Linked DNA regions of Coturnix japonica. The protein of the gene in region 2 interacts with the protein of the main gene of each other region in a pairwise test. Links are inferred from orthologs where the notes say so. Each region holds a gene or a part of one and is shown on either strand. Other genes may lie near its edges.

The links.
Region 1: the proteins of HMBOX1 (region 2) and ABITRAM interact in binary tests that used the Homo sapiens proteins (3 or more experiments, as listed by UniProt). The two-hybrid records come from large-scale screens. The link is inferred for Coturnix japonica from reciprocal best matches to the Homo sapiens genes HMBOX1 and ABITRAM.
Region 3: the proteins of HMBOX1 (region 2) and MFAP1 interact in binary tests that used the Homo sapiens proteins (3 or more experiments, as listed by UniProt). The two-hybrid records come from large-scale screens. The link is inferred for Coturnix japonica from reciprocal best matches to the Homo sapiens genes HMBOX1 and MFAP1.
Region 4: the proteins of HMBOX1 (region 2) and ASB7 interact in binary tests that used the Homo sapiens proteins (3 or more experiments, as listed by UniProt). The two-hybrid records come from large-scale screens. The link is inferred for Coturnix japonica from reciprocal best matches to the Homo sapiens genes HMBOX1 and ASB7.

The regions. Positions count from the first base shown.
Region 1 is NC_029517.1:79,740,869-79,746,990, reverse strand, and holds ABITRAM (protein Abitram), read left to right. Parts: upstream 1-2,489; 5' UTR 2,490-2,519; coding exon 2,520-2,577; intron 2,578-2,652; coding exon 2,653-2,704; intron 2,705-2,894; coding exon 2,895-3,024; intron 3,025-4,097; coding exon 4,098-4,174; intron 4,175-4,263; coding exon 4,264-4,333; intron 4,334-4,401; coding exon 4,402-4,536; 3' UTR 4,537-4,701; downstream 4,702-6,122. Other genes in the region: CTNNAL1 (alpha-catulin), read right to left, coding at 5,724-5,885, 5,976-6,059. UniProt on the Homo sapiens protein: Actin-binding protein that regulates actin polymerization, filopodia dynamics and increases the branching of proximal dendrites of developing neurons.
Region 2 is NC_029518.1:96,913,687-96,919,165, forward strand, and holds part of HMBOX1 (homeobox-containing protein 1), read left to right. Parts: intron 1-766; coding exon 767-862; intron 863-2,567; coding exon 2,568-2,662; intron 2,663-2,867; coding exon 2,868-2,999; intron 3,000-3,643; coding exon of another isoform or gene 3,644-3,688; exon of another isoform or gene 3,689-3,724; intron 3,725-5,479. UniProt on the Homo sapiens protein: Binds directly to 5'-TTAGGG-3' repeats in telomeric DNA. Associates with the telomerase complex at sites of active telomere processing and positively regulates telomere elongation.
Region 3 is NC_029525.1:18,262,521-18,268,710, reverse strand, and holds the start of MFAP1 (microfibrillar-associated protein 1), read right to left. Parts: upstream 3,722-6,190; 5' UTR 3,615-3,721; coding exon 3,536-3,614; intron 3,299-3,535; coding exon 3,079-3,298; intron 2,867-3,078; coding exon 2,737-2,866; intron 2,423-2,736; coding exon 2,235-2,422; intron 1,867-2,234; coding exon 1,758-1,866; intron 1,685-1,757; coding exon 1,524-1,684; intron 1,282-1,523; coding exon 1,122-1,281; intron 791-1,121; coding exon 701-790; intron 543-700; coding exon 360-542; 3' UTR 1-359. UniProt on the Homo sapiens protein: Involved in pre-mRNA splicing as a component of the spliceosome.
Region 4 is NC_029525.1:15,697,269-15,703,392, forward strand, and holds the start of ASB7 (ankyrin repeat and SOCS box protein 7), read left to right. Parts: upstream 1-2,403; 5' UTR 2,404-2,592; intron 2,593-2,868; 5' UTR 2,869-2,950; intron 2,951-3,120; exon of another isoform or gene 3,121-3,223; intron 3,224-6,124. UniProt on the Homo sapiens protein: Probable substrate-recognition component of a SCF-like ECS (Elongin-Cullin-SOCS-box protein) E3 ubiquitin-protein ligase complex which mediates the ubiquitination and subsequent proteasomal degradation of target proteins.

The DNA.
Region 1 (6,122 bases), on a different chromosome or scaffold from region 2:
ACTGTTTCCAAGCTGTCATAGTTAAAGCTGTGCCTACAGCCCCACAGCCGATCTTTCTCTTTTCTTCGCTACCCCAAGTACTTGAATGTCATCATCTTTGACTCGTAGTACTGTAGTAGAGACTGTTCGGTCTCTGGCATGTGCACATCACAGCCACCTTCTTCAGAAAAACAAAACAAGTCCTAAAGAACACTCCCATCCCCTCATACCCTCATGTCAAAGCTGAAGCTTCCATGCCTTGACCAGTTGGTGGTGCCTTCTCTACTGACCTCTAACCCGAGTTGTCCCACTCAGTTCAGATCTTAGAACGTGGCCACTCTTCTTTGTCTGGAAGTCTCTTCTTAGCATTGCCAAATTGCAGTCAGATGTACCTGACTTTGGTTGTGCCCTGTTTAAGCAGGTCTCGCCTTTCCTGTGGTGATGGCACCAGTCGTTAGAGCTGATGTGCCCCAGTTCTGGCTGCTGCATTGCTTCTCATGAGCAAGATGTGTTCCCAGGCAGAACGCTTGGCAAGTCTTCTCTCCCCCTTCCCTCTGAGCCTCTCACAGCCCTGTTACATGCACAAACACTGGAATCTCCTGGTGGGTGCTGTAGGGTTTGGGGGCTCTATTGGTTGTCTTTTGCCTTCTGTCCCTCACCCTCAGCCATCAGAGAAACTGAATGCGCTCAGTGCCTTGGTTGTGAGCTATTTCAGACATGGGTGGCTCCTAACTCAGTTTGCTTTGAATTCTTGTGGTTTCTGTTGGCCTAAGGCCTTAATTGCTGAAGTCAGAAGATGACTTCTCTCATCTGTGTGATAGATGAGAGACAGGAAATGGGCACATGGCTGTATCCCCTATGAGATATTTAGATTGGTGACTAAATAAATCTACAGCTTCTGGTCTGTGCTTCCTGTCAGTTGCTGGCTGGCTTGCAATGAGAGAAACTGACATGAAAATATCTGCATATCAAAATACATTACTAATAGATCAACCTGACGAATAAAACTGCCTGCAGCATGTGTGGGAAGGAGGGTGAGATGAGCTGGCAGTGAGTACTTGGGTGGGCTGGGTGCTCCAGCACATTTGTCTTTGGTGGGCAAAGCACTACGTGAGGAAACCAAAGATGCTTCACAACGTGCTGTTGGTAGCAGCAAGGTGACAAAGCTGGCCCATGTTTTCATTGTCAGCCTTTAGTGGAAGCAAAGGTCCTACTTCTTAAAGGTACTTGCGGTGAAACTTCTCGTGCTTTGATAGAAGGATAGAGCAGAGCCTCTAAGCTGCCTTTTATTTTTATGCATTGATGTTTCTGAGCAGCTTGTGGTAATGTGCCTGCCTGCTGTGGCTGATAAAAGAGAGCACCTTTTTTTGTGTCCTTGTTAACTACAGTACAGAGCTGAGTGTTGAATGCAGCTGTATCCGCCTTATGTAGTGCTTGTGCTGACCCTAGGGCAAACAGAGCAAGGAAGGGTGGACTCTGATTTTCATCGTGCCACATTATTCTTAAGCTTTTGGCTTGTGTGTGTATATAACATCAGTCATGTGCTGTCCTTACTTGCAACAAGAGTTCTACTGCACAGATGCCAGTCCTTGCCTAAGTTCTTGACCTGCCTGGGTCAAGCAGCATGGCTGTTCTGTACTGATGGGAGATATTGTGCAAGAGCACAACGAACTGTATTTGTTTAAAAAGCATTCAAGGCTACAGGGTGTAAATCCAAGTAGCTGCTTCTGCTGCACGAATTCAGAGTCGAGCATAATTACAACTTCTGTGGAAAACTAGTTTGTTCTGGTTGCCACAAATAGAAACCATGTTTTCATGCCATGTGTTCTTACTTGAAATGTGATTTCGGTACGTTTAAACAATGGTTATAGCTGCCCTTGTATTGCTGTGTGCTTGATGGAATAAACCACTGAACAAAGAGCTGTTTCTTGTGTTTACTTGGAACCCCACAGCAGTTTGGGTTGGAAAGACCCACCCCGTGCCATGGGCAGGGCTGCCCCCCACCATCTCAGCTGCCCAGGGCCCCATCCAACCTGGCCTTGAGCACCTGTAGGGATGGGGCACCACAGCTTCTCTGGGCTGTGGTGCCTCACTGCCCTCTGGGGAAAGAATTTCCTCCTACCATCTACTCCAAATATCCCTTATTTCACAGCTATTCCCCCTTCTCCTGTCACTATCACACCACGTAGAAAGTCTATTTCCCTCCTGTTTATAAGCTCCCTTTAAGTAGCAGAAGGCTGCAATGATGTCTCCCCACAGCCTCTGCCCTGAACAAGCTCAGTTCCCTCAGCCTGCCTCCATTGCTTCAGCTCCCTGAGCAGAATCGCGCCCTCCTCCGAACCCGCTCCAGCCTTCTTTTGACGTGCTGGGGGCCTGGACTCAGTACTGCAGACGGGCCCTCACAGCCTCAGCTTTTTCTTCCACTTAGGAAAGAGCTTTTAATTACGCGCGATGGCGCCGTGCCTCTACCACAGGGCGCCGCTCCACAGCCCGGTAGGCAGCGCGGGGCGGGGCCGCGCGTGCGCCTTGCGAGGGGCAACATGGCGGCGTGCGAGGCGTTGGGCGCGGCGCGGTACTTCACGCGCTGGTACAAGGCAGGTGCGGCGCGGCCGGGAGGGCGGGATGGAGCGTGTCCGGGGAGTCACCCTTACCCGTGTTTGTGGGCTCTCGCAGACGTGAAGGGGCGGCCGTGCGAGGATTTCTGCGTGCTGCAGCACTCCAACAGGCGAGTTGGCGGGCGGGGACCCGGCGCCCTCTGGTGGCATCGTGCTCCCCGCCTTCCCCCCCCTCAGCTCTGTGTATCGAACGGCGGTGTGAGGGGGGTGGGGGCGATGCCCGCAGCTGAAGCCTGGTTGTAGGTATTAAAACTCTACTGCACCGCTGCGGCACGGTGACTGTCGTTCTTGTTGTTGCAGGATCTGTGTCATCACGTTGGCAGAAGCCCACCCTCTTCTTCAGCATGGGAAAACAATCACAAGTATTAATTACCAAATCAGTCCCAACTGTAGCAGGCTTCAGAATAAGGTCTCTGGGAAGTCCAAAAGGGTACGTAATGTGTATAGCATGCAGAGGGACTTAAACATCCCTTAATAGATCCCTTAACTTGTTTTCAACCAAATGCTAAGGATTTGAGACTTTTTTTTCTAATCACAGACCCCTGGTCTGTGACAGGATGGGGGGAAATGGCCTCAAGTTGCACCAGAGTAAGTTTAAGTTGGATATCAGGAAACACTTCTTTACAGAAAGGGTTGTTAAGCACTGGAATAGGCTCCCCAGGGAGGTGGTTGAGCCACTATCCCTGGATGAGTTTAAAACCATTTGGATGTGGTACTCATGGACATGACTTAGTAGAGGGTTGTTAGGGTACTTTGGTTGGGTTGTGGTTGGACTTGATGATCTTGAAGGTCTTTTCCAACCTGAGCATTTCTATGATTCTATGTAAGTAAGTATAACCGTGGAACCCATAGTCACAGAATCACAGAATCACAGAATGACCTGGGTTGGAAGGGACCTCAAGGATCATGTAGTTCCAACCCCCCTGCCCAGCAGGGCCACCAAACATACACATTTACTAGATCAGGTTGCCCAGAGCCCCGTCCAACCTGGTCTTAAACACCTCCAAGGACGGGGCATCCACAACCTCCCTGGGCAGCCTGTTCCAGGACCTAACCACTCTCCTAGTAAAGAACTTCCCCCTAACATCCAACCTAAATCTTCCCTCTTTTAACTTAAAACCATTTCCCCGTGTCCTGCTATTGTCAGCCCTTTTGAAGAGTTTACTCCCCTCCTGGGTGTAAGTTCCCTTCAGGTACTGAAAGGCTGCAATGAGGTCACCCCGCAACATTCTCTTCTCCAGGCTGAACAAACCCAACTCCCTCAGCCTGTCCTCATAGGGGAGGTGCTCCAGCCCCCTGATCATCTTCGTGGCCCTCCTCTGGACCCTTTCCAAAATCTCCATATGTTTTTTGTACTGAGGGCTCCACACCTGGAGCTGTAGCTATCACACCTCCTTGCTTTGTTCTGTAACAGCTTGTGATGTTGCTGATGTTTATGAAACTATAAGAAGAGCCGTAATTAACTGTAATTAAGAACATGTATGTATTTTTTTCCCCATTCAGGGAGCTCAGTTTTTAACAGAACTTGCCCCGCTCTGCAGGATCGCTTCATCAGATGGAGAAGAATATACCATTTACAGGTAGGGAATACACCGTTTACAGGTAAAGATTTGCACACCCCCACCCTGACACACTGTGCACTTATTACTGAGTTTGAACACTTCTGCAGTTGCATACGAGGGCGACTGATAGAAGTGAATGAAAACATTCTTAGCAACCCAGCACTTCTGCAAGAAAAGGTGAGAAGCTTTTTAGCTTTTAGCCTTTATTTTACTACTTCAGTGCTAACATTGTTCCTCCATTGTAGCCGTCAACCGAGGGATACATAGCAGTGGTTCTACCCAAATTCGAAGAGAGCAAGAGCGTAACTCAGGGGCTCCTGACACCAGAAGAATACAAGGAGGTTTTATCGAAACGTCAGAATTCTTCTTCAGGAAGTTAATGATACAGGCAGCAGCTATGTTTGATGCTAAATAAGCTGCTTGTACCCAGCAGCTTTCATTGCATTGAAAGGGCTGCATTTATAAAAGTGGAACTTCACGTATTTGTTTTATTCTTGTATGAAATGGGGAAAAATAGTTTGTATATTAAAATCTGTTTTCTCTCAGTCGTAGTACGACATGTTTTTACATACGCACAGATTGATTTTGGAGAGTGGTTGTGTTCCAGGGACCTCTTTGCTCTTGGCTCAACGCAAACATAATACACAGAGAAAAAGCACAATTGAGCTGTCGGGTAATTTAGCCAAACTAATACAACGTGGGGTTTGACAGCAGTGAATTGAAAACAAAATGCAATAGGAGCCTGCCTATGATGAACAGATAACCTTGAAAGCAAGCATTTCACATCAGGTTACGTTTCCTAGCACCCTGAAGTCAAATAATGCCCTTTTTACAGACGTTTCTCATAATCAGTATTTACTTCAATGTTAAATGCTGTAAAGTCTACATGTAATACTTCAGTGGTTCTACATGCAATTCAAATCCTGCTCAGTACAGTTTAATCATAAAGGAAGCAACAACTGCCATCTACAGACAGAGACAGTGAAGGAGAAAGGCTTTGAGTCAAAAGTGTTAATCGCTTAGAAGTACACTTTGGAAATAGGAATAATGCCAACCAAACTAAGATTCAGCGCCAAGCTCTCGCAAGAGTGTTTTTTCTTAGGACTGAACTTCATTGTAGGTATAACTAACCTTAATTTCAGTGCTTTAGGCCACAGTGTTTCAGTCTACATTCCTGAATGGGCTTTATAAATCCATAGACTGAAATGGGCCAGAGAGGAGTTTACAAACGTCAGCAGTAGTGTTACATAGAGCACAGGGTTCTTTGTGTGAAGGGTCTGTTAGCAGCATCTTTGGGTTGAAACATCCATTAAGACATTCGTAAGCATGAATTACAAAACCAGTATCAATAGGGAGCGTAGGAAATTCACATTATGAAAATACATAATGATTACACTAGTTGGTGCTGTCATCGTTAAGTAACAGGACATCTATTAGATGTGACAAAGGTCAACAGGTTTAATTCAAATTAACCTGGGTTGACTTTCCACAAATGAAAGCAAAACTGAGAAACTTCAGCAAGTGTTATTTTCCCTAATGGAGCTTCTGCAATTTCTAAGTGCTGTAATTACTTGCTCTCTAAAAATGTCATTTTAGCCACGTGATTTTCCAAAGACTTGATACCAAACATCTCCACTCTTCTTTCTGGTGCGTGTGTGTTCATACCGCTTCGTGTTCTGCCTTCTCTCCATGGGGGGGCAGGTTTGAGATAGCCGTTCCCTGCTTTATTCTGTGTACAAAGACGACGTAGTGTAAAAAGCAAGCAAAAATATGCAACAACAAACAAAAAAAACCCAACTTTTAAGTACCAGATACTCACCTTTCTCATTAACTTGCTGCAAACTGGAAGCAGTTGACATAACAGAGTCATCACGTTCCTCGTTTTCTGAATGCATGCATCAACCTATAGAAGGCAATTAAGACAGGCCACTGATTGCCACCGTTAGGCAATGTGAGATGAAAACCT
Region 2 (5,479 bases):
CTGCAGGGAACTGGAGATGCAGCTACATCAGCCACCTCAGGTAGTCTTATAGCCAACAGAAGAGGTTTCCATCATGTCCCTGCAATGCTGATTCCCCTGTCTTCCCTTCTTAGGCCAGTCATCAGGCAGAGGAGTTATTTGCTGTAGCTGGGTGGTTGTTATTAGGTTTATTTGTTTTGCTGGTTTAAGTGTAACACTCCAGTGGTCTGGTTTCCAACATCCCCAAAAGATAAGAAGTGTCCTGGCAGAATGGAAAGGCTGTGATGAGTGCTGTGGGAGTTCGATAGCTGCTGCTGGTGGAGAAAAAGGAAAGCAGACTGAGGAGGGACAAAATTCCTTCATTCATTTTGCTGCTACCAAAGAAAACACATCATTGAACTGCACCCTTGCTGCACATAGTAAGAGAGCTAGCCCAAGGGTATGGGATTTATGGCAGGGCTGTGAATTGAATTTGAGTTTTTGAATCTCAGTTTTGTGCTTGAACTAGAAAAGGAGCCCTCTATTCTCCCACGGCTCAGGATTTGGTTGATTGAAGCTGCAAAGAAATTCTTGTATTTCAGATTTTAAAAATAGAAGAAAGGCTACTTTGTTTTTAGGGAGATATTTGGCATTTATTACTATAGCATCTGGGCACGGTACTGGTTCACATAAAATTTTCTTCATTCTCAGTTCTAACAGCTTTTCAGTGCTGTTTATACTACAGGAGTTGTCACTTGTACAAGGTTAGTCTGCCTATCTTTTTCCCCCCTGCCCATTGTTTTCATAGGAAAAAAGTTATCAGATCTGGAGCGAGTTACCTCCCTTAAAGTGTACAACTGGTTTGCCAACAGAAGAAAGGAAATCAAGAGACGAGCCAATATCGGTAATGTATCAGAGAGCCTGCTTTCAAGGTTCAGTACATTGACTTGCTCAGGAGAGATAAAAATTACACAGGATCACATTACTGAATATACGGGAGGTTCTGATAATCTTAATTGAAATGTGGGGCAATTTTTAAAAGATTTGCTATTCCAGATTTTGTCTCAAATACGGGTAGGAGTTCAGTGTCTGGAATTCCATCATCGGTGCAGGAAAAATGAGGCAAAGTTTTACTGGGAGATGAGTTTTAAAAATCCAAACAAGAATTGAGTTTTCCGAGGGAGAATCGCATTCCCTGCACTCGGACTCACCTGGTCATTCCAGATAAAATCTGACATTAAACCTGAAAATGTCTGCATTGAAAATAAGGGAAATTGAGACTATTGCGAGTTCAGAACCTTAGTGTATTGATTAAGTGACAAGTGGCTGTAGTGAGGAGCTTTTATATGGCTGTAAGTTTCCTTGTGTCTGTGTTCCATTGAAATGCACTTCTTTTTAATACTGAAACCCAGGGTTGTCTTTTACTGCCATCCCTCAGACCACACTGGGATCTGAGAGACCAGATGAGTTGTTTTACCTCTCAGATTTGGCCACTGGGACCACAGGTTCCATAATCTAGCTTCTTATTCACATTACACCTGTGCTCCCTACTGCTTTCTATAGGGTTGCACAGCACTGGGTGTCTGGAGCAAGGTGATATTTTTCCTTGATCATCAGGATAAAACAACAACTAGCCCTGCAAGCCTTTTGTGCATGAATACCTCATCATAAGGAAATAAGAAGTGATGCTGAACTTATAAGAAATAGACCTTCTCGTATGGATAAATGCAAGACGTTCTGATGAGAGTAAACTCACCTTAGCAGCCAGGACCCAGCAAACTTCAGCCGTTTGGGCATAGTTTTATGCACAAGTCTAAGTACTGGTGCAGGACTGAGTTTGCAACATGTAGGCAAGACAAGGCCCATATCTGCATGTTTAATGGTATTTTTGCAAATGTTGGCAGTGTTATACAGTCTTGCTGCTTTTTCTCATATCTGTGAAGATGAACAAGTTATTTGTACAAAATGTAGCATGTTACTGAAGGTTAATCTACGTTTACTTTTCAAAAATGAAACCTGTCTGTCTTACGTCAGGGGGGAGGGGGAGAACAAAGCAAAGATAGTCCAAGGTGGGTGGTGTTATGGCTTTATGTGTACTGTATGTTATGTGTACTGTATGTTATGTGTACTGTATGGGGAGGAGGGTTGGAAGGAGATTAAAAAGAACTAAAGGGAGCTTTAGATGCATGGATCCTTCTGGAAGATGAAGATGTATTGTTTTTAAATCCCTTAAGTGCTTTTAAAAATTTCTCCATCTATTTTCAGACACTCCCCGCCCCCCTCAAGTCCTGCCAGTCCAAACTATGTGGGAAGATCTACAGGGAATGCCTTTGCCACTCCAGTGCATTAGAAATTAAGCTAATTTCTAATAGGACTGGCTGGAAAACAAGGATTCTTACTCGCAAACAAGTCTGTTAGTTGACAGGGAAGGATTTCAGGCAAACCAGTATCTGTTCATGTGCTACCTTCCCAAATACTGGAGAGTGAAGAGGAAGAGGCTAAGAACTAACTCTGTTCTTCCAGTTTTTCTAACTTCTTGAAAAAAATAGTTAACTTTTAATTACTCTAATGCATCAGATAAATTAGGGATCCATTTGCTTTTTTCGAAGAAGCAGCAATCCTGGAGAGCCATGGAATAGATGTACAGAGTCCGGGAGGTCATTCCAACAGCGACGACGTTGATGGCAATGACTACTCAGAGCAGGTGAGTGTCATGGCTGAGCCATGTGTACCCAAATGAGAGAGTTCAGTGACACATGCAGAGGCCCTCTGCCTCGCAAGTCAGATGTCTCTCGTTCTTGTTTTGCTTTGATGTAATTGTAAAGGGGAAAGTGGAAGAGCACAGCTCCCCTGTTTGAATGTGTTGAGCAACAAGCGTTCACCCACATGGATTTATTGTCATACAACAGGACACTTGGCAAGTACGCAATGGGGAGGAGGAGGGAAGATGTTCAGAGGGAGGCAGAGAAGCAGAGAAGGTAGAAGAAGACAGGAGGATCTGCTCCAAACAAGCAAGTTACACCATTCACGCCACACGCAATGTATGAAAAATGTTAGGAGAGTGTTACCCAGTGCACCGTGCATAACTTGAGCTTTCCTCAGCCCTGGCACTGTGCTAGTAATCCACCCTCAAGAAAGGATGTACAGGTCTTTAACAATTGCTCTGATATATCAGGCACCAACTTGCTTCCCCACAAAACTAGGCATGTGTGTCCCTCTCTCACCTTTTGTTTCTTTATGCAAGAAATGTCTCTGTGATAGCCTGTGGTACAGATGTTGTGAGTTGCTTATCTGGCACCCAGATGAGTACAGCAGTAAGCCCCCGCCCGGTACACTTTATCGTAATCCCTTTTGTCAGCCCTGCTCAGCAAGATGCTGAGCACCCTCCTGTGAGGTGCTGAGCTCCTTCTGCATATCCCTGGGAGCACTGTTCAGGGTGGCTCAGGATCACTCCCTAAGATGCTGACAGACAAAGGGAGAAGGGGTGGGGGGAGGATGTGATTAACTAAAGCTTGACATTTATTTGGCCCTGTACCTGCTTCTTATTGTTCTGCCACGGTGTGCCACTATTTGGGTTGTTTACATATTATCTTTTTTTTCTTTTTGCATTTTAACTCTTGCCTATTCTCTATTTTTCTTGATTATTTTTAACCCTTGACAGCAACTTCTTTTTTAAATTCTCCAGCAAAAGAATACCCCTTCCCGCACTCTGAGCCCTCACCTACCCTAAAGTTGGTGACCCTTCCTTCACACACCTTCCTGACAGGTATTGCATCCGCTTCCCAATTTTCCCTCAGGTGTCAGTGTTGGCCAAAACCCATCAGGGATGTGTGTGCTTGGCACCAGGGGACTTGTAGAACAGTTCATATGCTTGCTTCTGACTTTGGTATTAGCTCTGTTCCATTCTACACCCAACATCTGGGGTTGGCAGATCATTTTTAATTGACTTATTTAGGAGAAATAGTTATGTCTCCCTATCTAAAGGAGTGCTGTAGCAATGGAAAGCCCTGGAATGAGTCCCTAGCAGGCTTGGCTGTCGCCCAGTGTGACAGATCTCTGGCAGAGGGATTCCCAGTCACTTTGCTTCTGATGGACATTAAGGCCCCTTTTATAGGTCATCACCAGTAGATTTGGTGGAACCAGCTTTGCTAGCTCTAGATAACGAGGATCAGTTCTGTGACAGTTCTAGAATATTTTGAAACTCCTGTTGAGTGCAGTTAATTCCTTTTCAGTCAGATGCAAAAACTGAATACAAGAGTTAGCTAGACTCTCAAACTATATTTTTCTGGTGTGTTATCCAAAATGCTTTGAAAAGATGAATAAACTGGATAGAAAATGTAAAGATTTTTGTTTAGAGTCCTTAAAATCTGCATTTCTCAATAATCTGACTGGGCTTGTCCATGAAGTATAATTAGGCATTGTCAGTGAAGCAGAATAAATGGCAGGTTCTCCTGATGACCATTTGACATCCCTTAGTGGTTAAAACCATAAATTGTGCTTTCCACAATGACACTTAAACTTCACAGTTCATCCAAATACAAGTGAGATGACTAAGACTGCAAAACTCAGGTCTCTGCTTTGTGTTTCTTATCCCAGTAAACATTGCTGAGGTGGCATCACAACATTTGCTCTCTGTTTGTTGTAAATGAGTGCATTCCTTCAAATAACTCAGATTTTACCAAATCTTGCCTTTTTTGTCTCCCTCAGCATTTGTCACCCTCATCTTAATTTCCAGGTGCTTAAAGATACATACTAACATGAAAATTTTGCATGTTCATCACTTATCAGCTGATGAAGACTGATAATTATCATTTCTTTCCTGTAAAACTAATGGCAAAATCGTCATGTGGTCTCTATTAGTGCCAAGTTTTAAGGAGAGGAAAATGCCCTGATTTTGCCCAACATCTCAGCACAATTTGTTTGACAGCTGAGTTTTATTTGGATGTTGTTGTTTCTCATTCCTGTTATTTTAAACCAAGCCCTATTTCTAATGTAGACTAAGAAGCATGCACACTTCACCATAACATCACACTAGAATAGTCAAACATTTGATCTGACATTGTATGGCCATTATCTGCCTAAGAAGGTAACCCTTTTTTTCCTTGATTTTGTAAGTTTCACTGCAGTCCCGCAGCATTAGTTTCCCTTTATTAGTTTTGCCTGTCAAGCATCATAGCAATCAGCACAGCGGTCCTCCTACAGCTGAGAGACCTTGCTCTTTAGAAAATAAGCAAGTAGGAATATGTAGCACTTAGCTCAGCAGACTGGAGAACTCAGCAGAGGTTTGCCTGGATACTTGAATTATGGTAGTTCCAGTCCCATGAAATCACTGCACTATTTTCCTCAACCATCTAGAAGCTTTTCACCACCTTTTTCCCAGTACCTTTGTGAATTCAGTTTCTTCACATAGGACAGCGGCTCAGCCCAAAGGTCTGGGTGAGGTCAATACCACTGTTTCAGGAAGAGTATTTTTAAAGAATAGGGTAATTATAGAGTGATTTTATTATATTAGCGTCCAGCT
Region 3 (6,190 bases), on a different chromosome or scaffold from region 2:
CTGAAGGTGGGGATGCTGGAGCAGGGGGTGCTGTGCTTCTGTACAGCTGCTCTGGTGCTGCCAAGGCTCTCGCAGGCTGGTGGGGTGGTGACATGACCATGAGGCTGCTCAGCATGGCTGGAAGTCATCTGCCACAAGAACCAGCGATGGGAGTCTGCCGAGTCTCTGCAGTATAGGTCATGGATCATGCCACCAACTAACAGGGAGGATGCAGTGCAAGGGCCCAGAGGGACAGCTGATTGTGGCACGAGTCCTGGTGCGGTGTTTTGTCCCTGCTGTTCCTGCCCAGGCTCTCAGGCAGCTGATAAAGCAGTGCCTCTCTGCCCAGTCAGCCACAGGACGCCCTCCTGTCTGCTCCCTTAAGTGGTCTTCCGCTTCTTGGCCGAGGGTCTCTCGAAGACATCCCTCACGCCTGCTGCTTTCTGCTTGAAGAATTTAGTGTTCTGTGCACTTTCTTGGCCCCAGGCAGAGTCAAACGAGGTGGTATCCTGGTCTACCAAGTGCGTGTACTTTGTCCGTCCTGAGCGCCCAAAGTTCTTGACCTGGGAGGCAGGAAAGATTGTGAGCATCAGTTGGTGTACGATGTGGGGACCCTATCATGTCACTGCTCCTTCCCTCGTGAGATCCCACCGATCCCACGAGCCCCAGCTGAGCAGCACTGGTGGAGCTGGGGCAGCGCACAGACCTGCCACACACCCACCTGCATGACTTTGGGCAGGATAGTTTTGTTGAAGTGGTCCTCGAGGGTAGGGGCACTGAAGTCCCGCTTGTACACCTCCTCATCTTCGTCCTGCGGAGGAAGGACACACCTGCTTGACTTGCAAGTTTCCAGCAAGTGTCAGTAGAAGACAAGTGGAGAAGAGCTACCGAGAACCAGCTGTCCTGGGACTGCTGCTCCATGCAGCAAGTCCCTGACGAACTGCATTCGTGTCTTTACTCACCCTGCCTGCCAGACCTGACAGGCACCTCAGATCCCCTCAGTCACTTCAGCAGCACGCTGCTGTTGAGGGCCAGCTCTGGTCCTGTGTGCTTGGCCAGCCCTTACTTGGGTACCACTAGGGAAAACTCCCCCAAAACAGCCACGTGGTCCACGCAGCCCCAGGCCTGGCAGCAGAACTCACCATGAAGAAGGCGCCACGGTGGTAGTACTTCTGCAGGAACTTGTATTTGCCCTTCACTGCCTTGTTGGTGATGACTTTGCCGTTGGCTCGCAGCTCGGCACGGCGCTCCTCCTCTGTCAGGTTCCTCATCCGCTCGATCTCTGCCTTCTCTTTCTCCATGCTGGGCAAAAGAGAAACCCTGAGCCCCTGCATCCCTCAGTGCCCTCCCAAGATGGGACAGCTGCTGCCACCCGGGACTTTCTGACGAATACGTTGACTGACTCCATAATGGAGTAAAGCACCTCAAGAAAATTCCTGATGCTGCCAAAACAAAGACTGAGAAAGAGACGCCTCAACTGCCCGCTGTCCTGCAGGGCCTGGGACTGCAGGGACCCTCCCCTGCCTTAAGCAGACAGTACTTACGCTTCTCGTTCTTCACGATCCCGTTTGATGCGCTTCAGCTCACGTACTTTCCAAGCCTCGTACTCCTCCTCATCATTCTCATCGTCTGTATCGAGAGCATCAAGTGCTGCCAACGAGCGCTTATTCTCTTCCAGCTCCTTCTTTGCCTCCTCTTCCACGATCTGAAGCCAAGACCAAGCTCAGCTCACTGCAATGGCTGCCCCAACATGCATGCCCCAGTCTGCCCCGCTGTACCTTGAGTGTGTACTTGCGCCTCTCTTCTGCTAATCTCTTTGCCTCCTGTTCTAGCTCCTTCTGCTTCAAGGCTTCTGCTTCTCGCTCCTGAACTGTGATCCGGTCCTTCCTGTGAGCAGGGACCACAAAAGCCTTCAGCCTTTCAACATGCCACTGCAGACCTCTGCTCCCACTGCAGCCTCTTTTAGTCTTTATGCCCCCCACGGCAGGGCCAAGTCCCAAGGCTCTCTCCTTTCTGATTTTGCTCATTCAAGAGCGACCATACTCAGTCTCCTCACATCTGCAGACATGCACAAAGGTGATGGGAGACCCTGCTACTGGCTGTGGAACATGTTGGAGCACACTACCTGGTTTCTGTTGTGCTGTACCTGCCTAAAGTCCCCAGTTGGAAGTACCCAGCCATGCCCTACCAGGTCAGTCACTGCCCATCCCTGATGCAGTGCTTGGCCCATGCAGCTGTATCACCTTATCACCTACTTGCGGATGAAGACAGGTTTGAGACGTGGCTCCATTTCATCCTCGCTGTCTGTGTACTCCTCGTACTCAGACTCTGACTCAGACTCTTCTCCAGATCTGCCCTCATCTTCCAGCTCCATCACTTCCAGCTCCTCAGTTTTTCTCTCCTGCGCTCTCTGACGCATCATCCCACGCCGACGCTCGATCTCCTAATGGAGACACATCAAACACAGACTCAGCCAACCAGCCCCACTATCGCTTCCTTCCTTTTTCCATATAAAAAGCATGATGTTGAGCTTATATGATATGATGTTGACTGCTTATATAAGCCCACACCTCAGAACGCAGGTGACCTCCCTGGTGCCCCATAACCCACAGGCTGTGGTCACACCACAGCTGGCTTTAACTCAGGTCCCAACATCCACCCAGTCTCACCACAGTTCACGTGTGTCTGCAAGCACGAATTCCAGACAGGGCCTAAGGGGACTTTCCCAGGCCACATCTGCTCAGCAATATAACGAACCTCATCATCGATCTCTTCCTCTTCCTCTTCACTGGTGTCCTCTCTCTCCACACGCCACGCTTCACCTTCTACCTCAGAATCACTCTCTCCGACCACTTCAGGCTCCACAATTTTGCGGTGTCTTGCCAGCCTGCAACAAATGTCCACTCGACTACGAAGCTCTGAACACAAGGAGACTAAAGAAGAGAAATCTTTGCGATCTGTTTCTAATGAGACCGTAGTCAGACCCGGGACCACGAAGCGTGTGAAGGAAAGAGGCATCCCCTGCGTGCTCAGGAGCCCGGAAACACAAAGCTGGGGGGGAGCACGAGGAGGGAGCAGAGCCCGGAGCCGAGCACTCACCGCTCCTCCACGTCCTCAGTGATGCGGTTCTGCAGCCGCCGCAGCCGCGGGTCGTTGGCGACCTCCTCCTCCTGCTCCTCGGGCTCCACCTCCTGCTCCTTCGCCTTCTTGATGAACTGGAACTCCTCGTCCTCCTCCTCCGAGGATTCCATGGGCGCGTAGTCGGGCCGCTTCCCCGACACGTACCGCTTCACCTTCACCTTCTCCATAGACAGCTCGCCTGCGGGAGGGGGGGGAACAGCAGCGGGAGGAACAGCAGCGGGAAGCCATGAGCAGCCGGGCCATGAGCAGGGCGCCATGGGCAGCCGGGCCATGAACAGCCGTGAGCAGCCATGGGCAGCCATGGGCAGCCGGGCCATGAGCAGGGCGCCATGGGCAGCCATGTGCATTCATGCCATGAACATTCACGCCGCCGCCGTGCCCGCGCCCCCCGCCCCTCCCGGCGCCCCGCACTCACCCTTCTCATTGCGGACGGGCACGGCGCCCGCCGTGGACTGGATGGGCGGCTGCTTCACGAGAGCGCTGGGGGCCGACATGGCGGCGGGACGGGACGGGACGAACCGCAGCCGCTCACAGCACCGACCGACCGACAGACCGACAGACCGACCGCTCACCCGGAACTGCAACTCCCGCTTCCGCCGGCGTACCGGAAGTGAACGCGCGCCGAACCGTCGCAAGCCGCCGGAAGTGACGCTCAGCGTGGAGGTCATTTCCGGCTCCTGTGGCCGGATGTGGAGCTGGTTTCGGCCCGGTCCGGTCGCGGTGCAGCGGCGGTTCCCCTCAGGGCTCGGTTCCCCTCAGGGCTCAGATCGGCCCCGCTGTGATCTCTCCGCTCATCGCTTCGGGGCTCGGGAGTGGTGACGTGCTGCGGAGCCGGCCGCACGTAGCCCCGGCCCGCGCCGGGTCCCTGCCCGGGATTCCCGGGGCCGGCTGCCGAGTCCTGCCCCTGCTGCTCGTGTGGCTGCGGCTGGAGGCTGCGCTCAGTGTCGGTGCTGAATACCGGGTTACCATCGGTGCTGAATACCGGGTTACCATCGGTGCTGAATACCGGGTTACATCGGTGCTGAATACGGGTTACCACGGTGCTGAAACGGGTTGCCCATCGGTGCTTGGAATGCCCGGGTTACCATCGTGCTGAATGCGCGGCGTACCTCGGTGCTGAATTTACCGGTTACCATCGCTCTGCAGGGCTCTCCCCGGGCTGTCCCCCGCCCTCTGGCTGCCAGGACTTTCCCGCAGCACCGGCCCAGGGCAGAGGGAATTACCCGCAGGAGCAGCCCCTACATGGAAGCGGGCAGGTTTCCTGCCCCAGCTGTTGCTGCTCACGTCAGAGCCCTTCACACACCAGTTGGGTTTCGCAGGAAAGCAGCCCAGCGCCAACTCGTAGCAGCTGCCCACGCGGTAGCAGCCAACCACAGGAGATAAGATTTCTCTTGAAGCCAGGAAAAACTGGGTCACCAGCCACCACAACCGCGTCTGCAGCGCTGCGGTGCCTCCCCAAAAGAAGGGAAGAGGTTTTATCTTCCGGGAAATCAGCACGGGGGTGCCAGGCAGTGAGACCTGCTCCTGGGGACTGACCTCAGCATTCCCTTGTGCTGGCAGGGTGGGTCCCCTGGGCACAACAGCTCCTGGGTAAGCCTGACCCTGCTGGTGCTGTGGCAGGAGAAGAGCTGCCACTGAGCAGGCCCAGGCAGAGCTTTTGGCCGCTCCAGGGTCCCTGTGATTCTGCTGTGCGTGCAGCCAGACCCCAGTGCTGCAGTTGTCCCGCTGCCTCGGGCACTGGTGGCTTTGTGCTCCTGCAGCAGCAGTGCTTGGGGGTAGGCAAGTCCTTCCTGGTGTTCCTGGCCTTGATGTCCCGATGACAATTAGAGCTCTGTGCCCAGCTCCTGCTCCGCTCCCAGTCATCAGCTGAGATATCAATTTTGTGTGGTTATCACAGCGTGTTCCTACCTAATGGTTCCCGTGTCACCATGGCAAGGAGCGAGCTTCAATGTATGACTCAGTGAGTGAAACAATTAGGCACAATGGTTACAGGAAAGCTTAGGAATTGCACACAAAGCACATCGTGTCCTGATCAGGTGAAGCTAAACTCAAGACCTCAGCAAACAGGAAAATGCTTCCTGGCTGGCTTCGATGCTGTGCCTCAGGGGTTTGATGCGGTGACAAGAAGCAGCCCTGACCCTTTGGTGTGCTTCTCTGCCCTGTGTCCCACGGAGCCGCACACGGCTGCAGCAGGAGTGAGGGGCTGGGAGTGGCAGAGGCGGTGTTTGGGCTGTCTGGGGCAGGGGACGCAGGCTGATACAGCTGAGAATGCCCCCAGCCTGCTAGAGCACGTGGTGAGGGGGCTTTGGGGGCAGTGTGTGGGCTCTGCTGCCTGTCCTGCAATCAAAGTGTGCTCAGAACCCATGCAGCGCACTCAGATCGGGTGGGCTTCCTTTCCCCTGGGTGGCTGCAGAGCAGATGGGGGCTGGAGATGGCAGCTGTGATACTTCAGCAGCCTCGTGGCAATTGATGACAAAGGCAGAAGGCAGATAAAGTTACAGAGACACGTTGTGCCGCTGCTGTTTGTCTGCAGGCTGCACCGCGGGGCAAGGTCAGCGCCGGATCCCCGGCCCGATGTTGTGTCTGGGAGTGCGGGGCGGGCAGAGCCTCCCATCCCACCGCAGCCACGTGCAGCGCAGCCCCCGCGGCAGCCCAGGCTCCCCGCACTCCCCCTGAGGCCGCTCAGTGAGCACCGCCGGGCTGAGCCGCTGTCCCGTCTGCCACCGCTACCTTCACTTTGGCTTTCTCAGCTCTGTGTGCGCGCAGACCTTCCTACCCCATCTCCCTGCCCTGCTGCCCGCTTCCTCCCAGCGCAGTGGTGTCTCTGAGCCCACCCCCAGGTGGGGGTGCCTGGCGCAGTGCTGCCTTCTGCAAAGTGCCAGCAGCCATCGCACAGCTGGCGGTTGTGTAACCTGTAACCACAAAGCCAAACATTGACCTTATTTTCCACGAAAGTGGGTTTCTATTGATTGCTGTGTGTAGTTCCATGGGGGGGGGGCATGGGACGCTGTGTGGCCTGGGACATTGTGGGGCATACGTTGCTGTGCCACACGCTGCTGGCACAGCCTGG
Region 4 (6,124 bases), on a different chromosome or scaffold from region 2:
ATGGCTGGGAAGTTCAAAATAAAAATTTACTTGAGGTGTAAAAGACCCTTAAAAGCATTTAAATATTCAGAAAAAGATTGAAAAGCTTTATCACAAAACCAATGGAATGTTTCTTTCAATTGCTGGAACATTCAGAGCAGTTTTACAAGAAAACCTATTAATTCCAACCTTTTCTTAAAGTGTGAACAGCTAAGCACCCCAGAATTTTCAGTCATTATGCAAATAGATAAACGGGTGTCAGATCTCTCCAGAGAACAGATTTACTCATGATCACAAGGGTTTCTTTTTCATCAGTGGTTCTACTCTATACAGTTTTAACATATTATCTAACCACTGCCCTTTAATTAAAAGAAACTCATTACCTTTTATCTACTGTGAATTTAGGAATGGGATTTATTTTCTTTATGGGAATTTTCTTGTATGCTTTTGGGATCCCCCTCTCTTCAAATCTGGCATAGCCAAGGTATGTTCCTGCAGCCAGCTGTTTCAAGCTGTTGGTTAAACATTAAGTTTCCCATCTCTTAACAAGGGAAGAAAACAGTTCAGTCTCTTAATAACGACTAGCTATTCCATTTCTGTTTGTAATCATTATTCCAGTCATCATCACACCAAAGACATTTAACATTATTGCTTTCTAGGAGAAAATTAACAAACTTTGAGGCTACAAGGGTTTATTAAGCTTATAATCTTCTCACACTTTTAAAACTATCAAGCATTGAGAATTATACTTTCATTTTTATAATATGTTTTGGTTTTTATAAACTATAACTGAAGCATGCATTGACAGAATGGCTTCCCAAAGCCATTAAATAGAGGGGGTAGACCAAGACCTGCTACCCAGGTTGGGGGTAGACCAAGACCTGCTGCCTGTTGCCACAACTGAGCAGTATTTCCCTTGGTGTAGATTTAAGAGAACCTAAAATTAGAAAATAAGCACTTTCCTCTAGGGAATAATCTACAGTTCCCTCTGCTGGGGTATTTTGGATGGCAATGGCTGATCCGGCAACTTCAAAATGTACCTCACCTCATCCATAGCAGACCAAAGAACCCTTTCCCACATTCCATGTGTTAGAGATTAGATCTGATACTTAAAATTCCCTCTTCATTTGAAGAATCTATTTGTGATTCTACTTGAGGTGGAAATTTATGGCCTGAAACCTCATAAAATTTCTTCACAAATCATTCGGAATATTTTTATGTAGCCATTGTTTCTGTCTTTGAGTTTTATTTCTTCCTACAAGAACATCTAGTAATGTAAAATTATCTCAACGCGTTTGCTCCTATGTTCAAAACCAACCTGAGCTGTCGTGCACCAATTCATCCAACACAGCAGGGCTGTAAGAGCACAAGAGATTTAGAACTCCTCCACGTGGTATTGGTTGTGCTTTCCCTGATCCCACCATTGCACGTTTGATTTACAGCATTAATTTGCAGAGCACTTTGCCAAGAGGACAGGTAAGGCACGCCATGCTCACACCAAACAGCATCTCATGAGGGGGAGTCATTAAAAGAGATAATACGAGGGGCTTATTTTGAAGAGGTTTAACTTCAAAGAGGGGGAAGGTGTCAGACAGACTCGGTTTGGCTCAGTCATAGTAAGAAGGCACAAAGCTCAAAGAGGAAAGAAAAGTGACTGTATCTGCACAAAAGAAATGACAACCCCAGCTCTTGCTTGTGTTATTCATGACAGCATCGAAAAACCAATTAAGATAAGGCCCCAAGTGTCAGATTCCTGCGTAAAGAATAGGAAACAGTTCTGAAGCCCTTATATTGGAGGTGAATTAAAGAGAGAAGGGCTGTACAGAGTAATATAAAACCAAACTAACACGTTTTCTTGTATATTATATTCGCCATCGCTTGAATTCGACCTTAAAAGACATAAACCCACGTGGAGCTGCAAACACAGAAATGAGAGATGGAAACAGGATGAGGAAAGAAATAACGGACCTGAAACGGCACCTGAGCCCGTCAGCTTTAAGGGCCGTGTACCAGCAGTGACCCAACTCTTCTACTCTTCGCAGCATCTTTGGCCTGTACCCGGGCCCAGCCCCTCTCAGGGTCCATCCCACCTTCCCCATGAGCCCCCCAGGCCCCACCCCCCCGTTCCTAGGGGTTACCAGGCCCATCCCGCCCCGTTCCTACTCAACTGCTGCCAGGCGACCGCGGCGCCTCACCCGCCCCTTGTACCGGTCGCGGGGAGGCCCAATCCTCCTCCGTTCCATCCCCGGATCCGCCTCAACCTCCCCCCGCCGCTGTCGCAAAACGCTCTGTCTTCACTTTACGGCAAAGGTTGGGCCAAGAGCAGCGGGCGGAGCTGCCGTCAGCCTACTGACCAATCAAAAACTCCGGCGGCGAGAGGTTGGGGGCGGGACCAAAATGGAGACCTTTGATTGGCTGTTGGGGAGGTCAGTCCCTGCCCGCTGACCCCGCAACGAGCCGCGGGGGGCGGCTGGGTGCAAAGTGTCCCCGCACGGTGCGGCCCCTTAACGCGGCCGGCACGGCCCGGCCCCGCCGCCGGCACCCGGTCACTCAGTCAGTCAGTGCAGCCGGCACTCAGTCAGTCAGCGCAGCACGGAGCCCACCGGCTCGCAGGTAACGGCCCCCGGCCGCCCCTCGCTTTCCTCCCGGTGCCGCGACCCCGTGGCCTCCTGTCCCTTCCTCAGCGCTCACCTCAGCCCCGGGGCTGCGCTGACAGGGTGGGAGGGCTCGGCCTCGGTGCTTCATACTGAGCCCCTCTGTGAGGTGAACTAACCCTTCCTGACCCATCCGTGAGGGCTTTTCCTGCTTCTTCCTGCTGTTCCTTTAGTATTATGCTTAGCTTCTGTGTTATATCGTGGCTCAGTTCTACTTTTGTGTGTTTTTTTTCAGGTTTAAGCTGCCTTCAAAGCAGGACTGCAAAGAATGGAATGAGGCTGAAGAGAGAAAGCAACGCTCACGAGAGCCCAACAAGGTGATAATCTGCGTCGAATTATCCTTGCTGCAGTAGAATTCTCCTTGCTGCATGGTTTGCCTGTGGTCCTCAGTGTGGTGGGTTCCATGGGCATTATTGGGTCTCTTTGTTCTCTCAGAACCTTCGGGCTTCTGAGCGTTGGTTTTAGAAGCTCTGGAGTCCAGTTGGAGGGTCCTTTCCTCCTTGTTACGGTTTGTTGTCTGAATCTGATCTGTACACGTGATTCTGATCACAAATTACTCCTTAAAGTGTGTTGGTGTGTCTTCAGCTCAGGTATGTCGTAGAATCGTAACGTGGTTGGATTGGAAGGGACCTTGAAGATTGTGTAGCCCCACCCCCTGCTGTGGGTTCGTTGCCCCCCACCATCTTGGGCTGCCCCATCCACCTTGGCCTTGGACACCTCTATGGGATGGGAAGTGTCATTTAACATGACCTCACTCAGGGCAATGGTGAGCGTCCCTTCAGCCTTCCCTCCCATTGACATGACTTGTTCCTGCTCTGGTTCTGCAGATGTTGCTGCAGTAGGTCATAGTGATTAGGTTTTGTTGGTTTTAGTTGCACCAAACTTCTGTGTGGGTCAGGGTTTTTGTATTATAACCGAGCTGCAAAAATTCCAGTGGATTTAATTGGATGGTGTTTGTTTACAAGTACTTTGTGGGTTGAGATGACAGAATAAGATAATGCTGTTGGATGCTTAAGGGGAAAAAAATGAAAGGAGTCATCAGAAACTGAGTCCTGCTGTGAGAGGAGGATGGTGTGGTTTCAGAGCAAGAGCAGCTCGTAGGGAGGATTCCTGTTATATATGTGGCTGGGAGGTAAAGAGATGAGCTTTGGAAGGAAAGAGAATGGGGGGTGGTTAACGTCAGTCAGCATTATTCTGCATCCCACTGTTATGTGCTCCAAGTAATGGCACTCATGCCTGTTCTAATGCAAAGACTGCACTGATTCTATTGTAATCCATTTCAAAGGTAGATGAGTTTGTGTTATTTTGGCAAATGTATCCTCAATATGGGTCCTACTGGTCTTTGTCTTGTTTTCAGAGATGTCACTGACTGCACCAGAATGGTTTTTGTTGTCAGAAATGAATTCCTTCTAGTGTTAGTTGCAGTGGAAAATGCAGTACCTGTTGCTGTGGTCAAGGGTGGATCTTTATTCTGATGTATCTTCAGCGTATGGTGGAAATGTTGTTTTCACTGTTGTGCTGTAAAGATGAAGTGGAAAATTCCCCCGTAACACAAGGACAACAAATTCTGTGGTATATACTTTAAAAGCAGAGCGAAGAAATAGTCTGTGCTGTTTTGATAGCATACCACAAAGCCAGTTGTATGATGCTGGAACATGCAGACAGGCCCACTGTGATTGCAGGAGTGGCTTCTGTGCTGTTAGATAAGACAAGTGCATTAATGCTGACTTTTCAGTGCAGCCATGGTGCACCTGTTTCGTACAATGTTGGTTTGTTGTAACAACCTCTTTGTAACCCCTCTGTCACATCTAACATCAGACCTTGCATCATTGTAGCTACTCAAAGAGTGCAACATCTTGGTGCTCCTAAGCCACTAGGTCTTTTGAGAAATGTGTTTGTGAGTTGCTAGGCTCCTTCCTGATGTGAGATGCCAATGCAATGAAGTTTGATCCAGATGCAGAGGCTGGAACTGGGTTCACAGGCACTGGGGCATGAGCTTCTGCCAGCAATGTTCATGTGATCCAAACAAGAAAGAGAGACAAATGATGTGCTGTAGCCTTCCTCTCGGGCTCTGGAAGGAACACAGCATGTTGCAAGTAGAGCTACCCCCTTAGATTAAGTTGCATATCCAGTGTTTTTCTTATTTTTAGCTTCAGGTTACATACTCACTGTTTTTGTTTTTCCCAATTGTGAATTCTAAACCCTTAAAGCAAATGTGTGGAGTGAGAGGCTGTTTTCTGTTCCAGCATTTGCTTGCAGAATGGCATTATTGTAGTGAAGCACCATTGCTTTATCTGCTCAAGTCATCCAATTAGTTCTGTCCAGTTTGGTTCTTCTAGGCCCTATTAAAAAAAAATCAGAGCAAATACACATTTTGCAGAGGCTGTTAAATAAAATGAGCACCATAAGCAGCGCTCTTTTTGCTCATCAGTTGTATCATGAGTAGTAGGACTGAAACAATTGTTGTAGTGAGGTTTAAACTAGTTTGTAGGGTTTTTTTCCTGCTTCTGTCATTCAGTGGAAAGTTGGTGTTTGGATACTTGAGTGATAGCAAGTAATATTAAAATGGGTGAATCTTACACCTTAACACTTGCTCTGAATTACTGCTTACTTTTAAGGTTAAGTTTTCTCTATATTTATACTGTTTGAAGCTTGCTAACGGTAAGTCAGCAGTGGGGCTGCCTTTTATGCTTGATCTCAAAGCGTGCTGCAGGCTCCCTGCAGGTGCTCTGTGCAGGCTGGGAAAGGAGCATTGCAGCTGTATGAACTGATGCAACGTTCTCACCTGCAAAAGATCAGTAAGGCCTTCCTTCAGCACTAACAATGAGATTATTAGATCTATGGCGTTTTCTTCACAAGGTCCCACTTGTGGATAAGTTTACCAGTGTACAGATGAGGATTTTGGGGATGGTTTGAGCTGATTTGTTAACAGTGGGTAGTGAAGATGATGTCTTAGCTGTTGCTGTCCTGTTTGCAGACCTGCAGTTACTTGAGCTGGGCAGTTTCCCTAGCTCTCCATCAGGCCCAAAAGTCAGACCTCACATCTCACCATTACATGGGTAACAGTTGGTAAAATGATACCTACAAACTTCAGTTTTGGTCACCTGCAGAATGTAACAGCACAACAGCTGCTTGTTAGTCTATAATGGCAGCATGATTGGTACTACACACACCTGAAGCTGATGAAGCACTTTTAGGTTAGCTCTGTTACCTTAAATATGTCTAAACCAGAAGTTGGCATTACAGATACATTCCTTATGAGTGCACAACTTCTAATGATCACTCATGAAGACTGCAGCTTCTTTCCTTTGAAGTTGTTCTCTTGTGGTGTTTAGGAGGATTCGTGCATCATGGACTCACTGCTTTTGGTGCCAGGAGTATACATTAAAGCTTTGGTGACTTAGAGACTTGAATGCCTCACTTGATGTCCAGGATATAGCATAGAGCAGCTAACATAAGATATATTCATAGAATAGCTTGGGTTGGAAGGG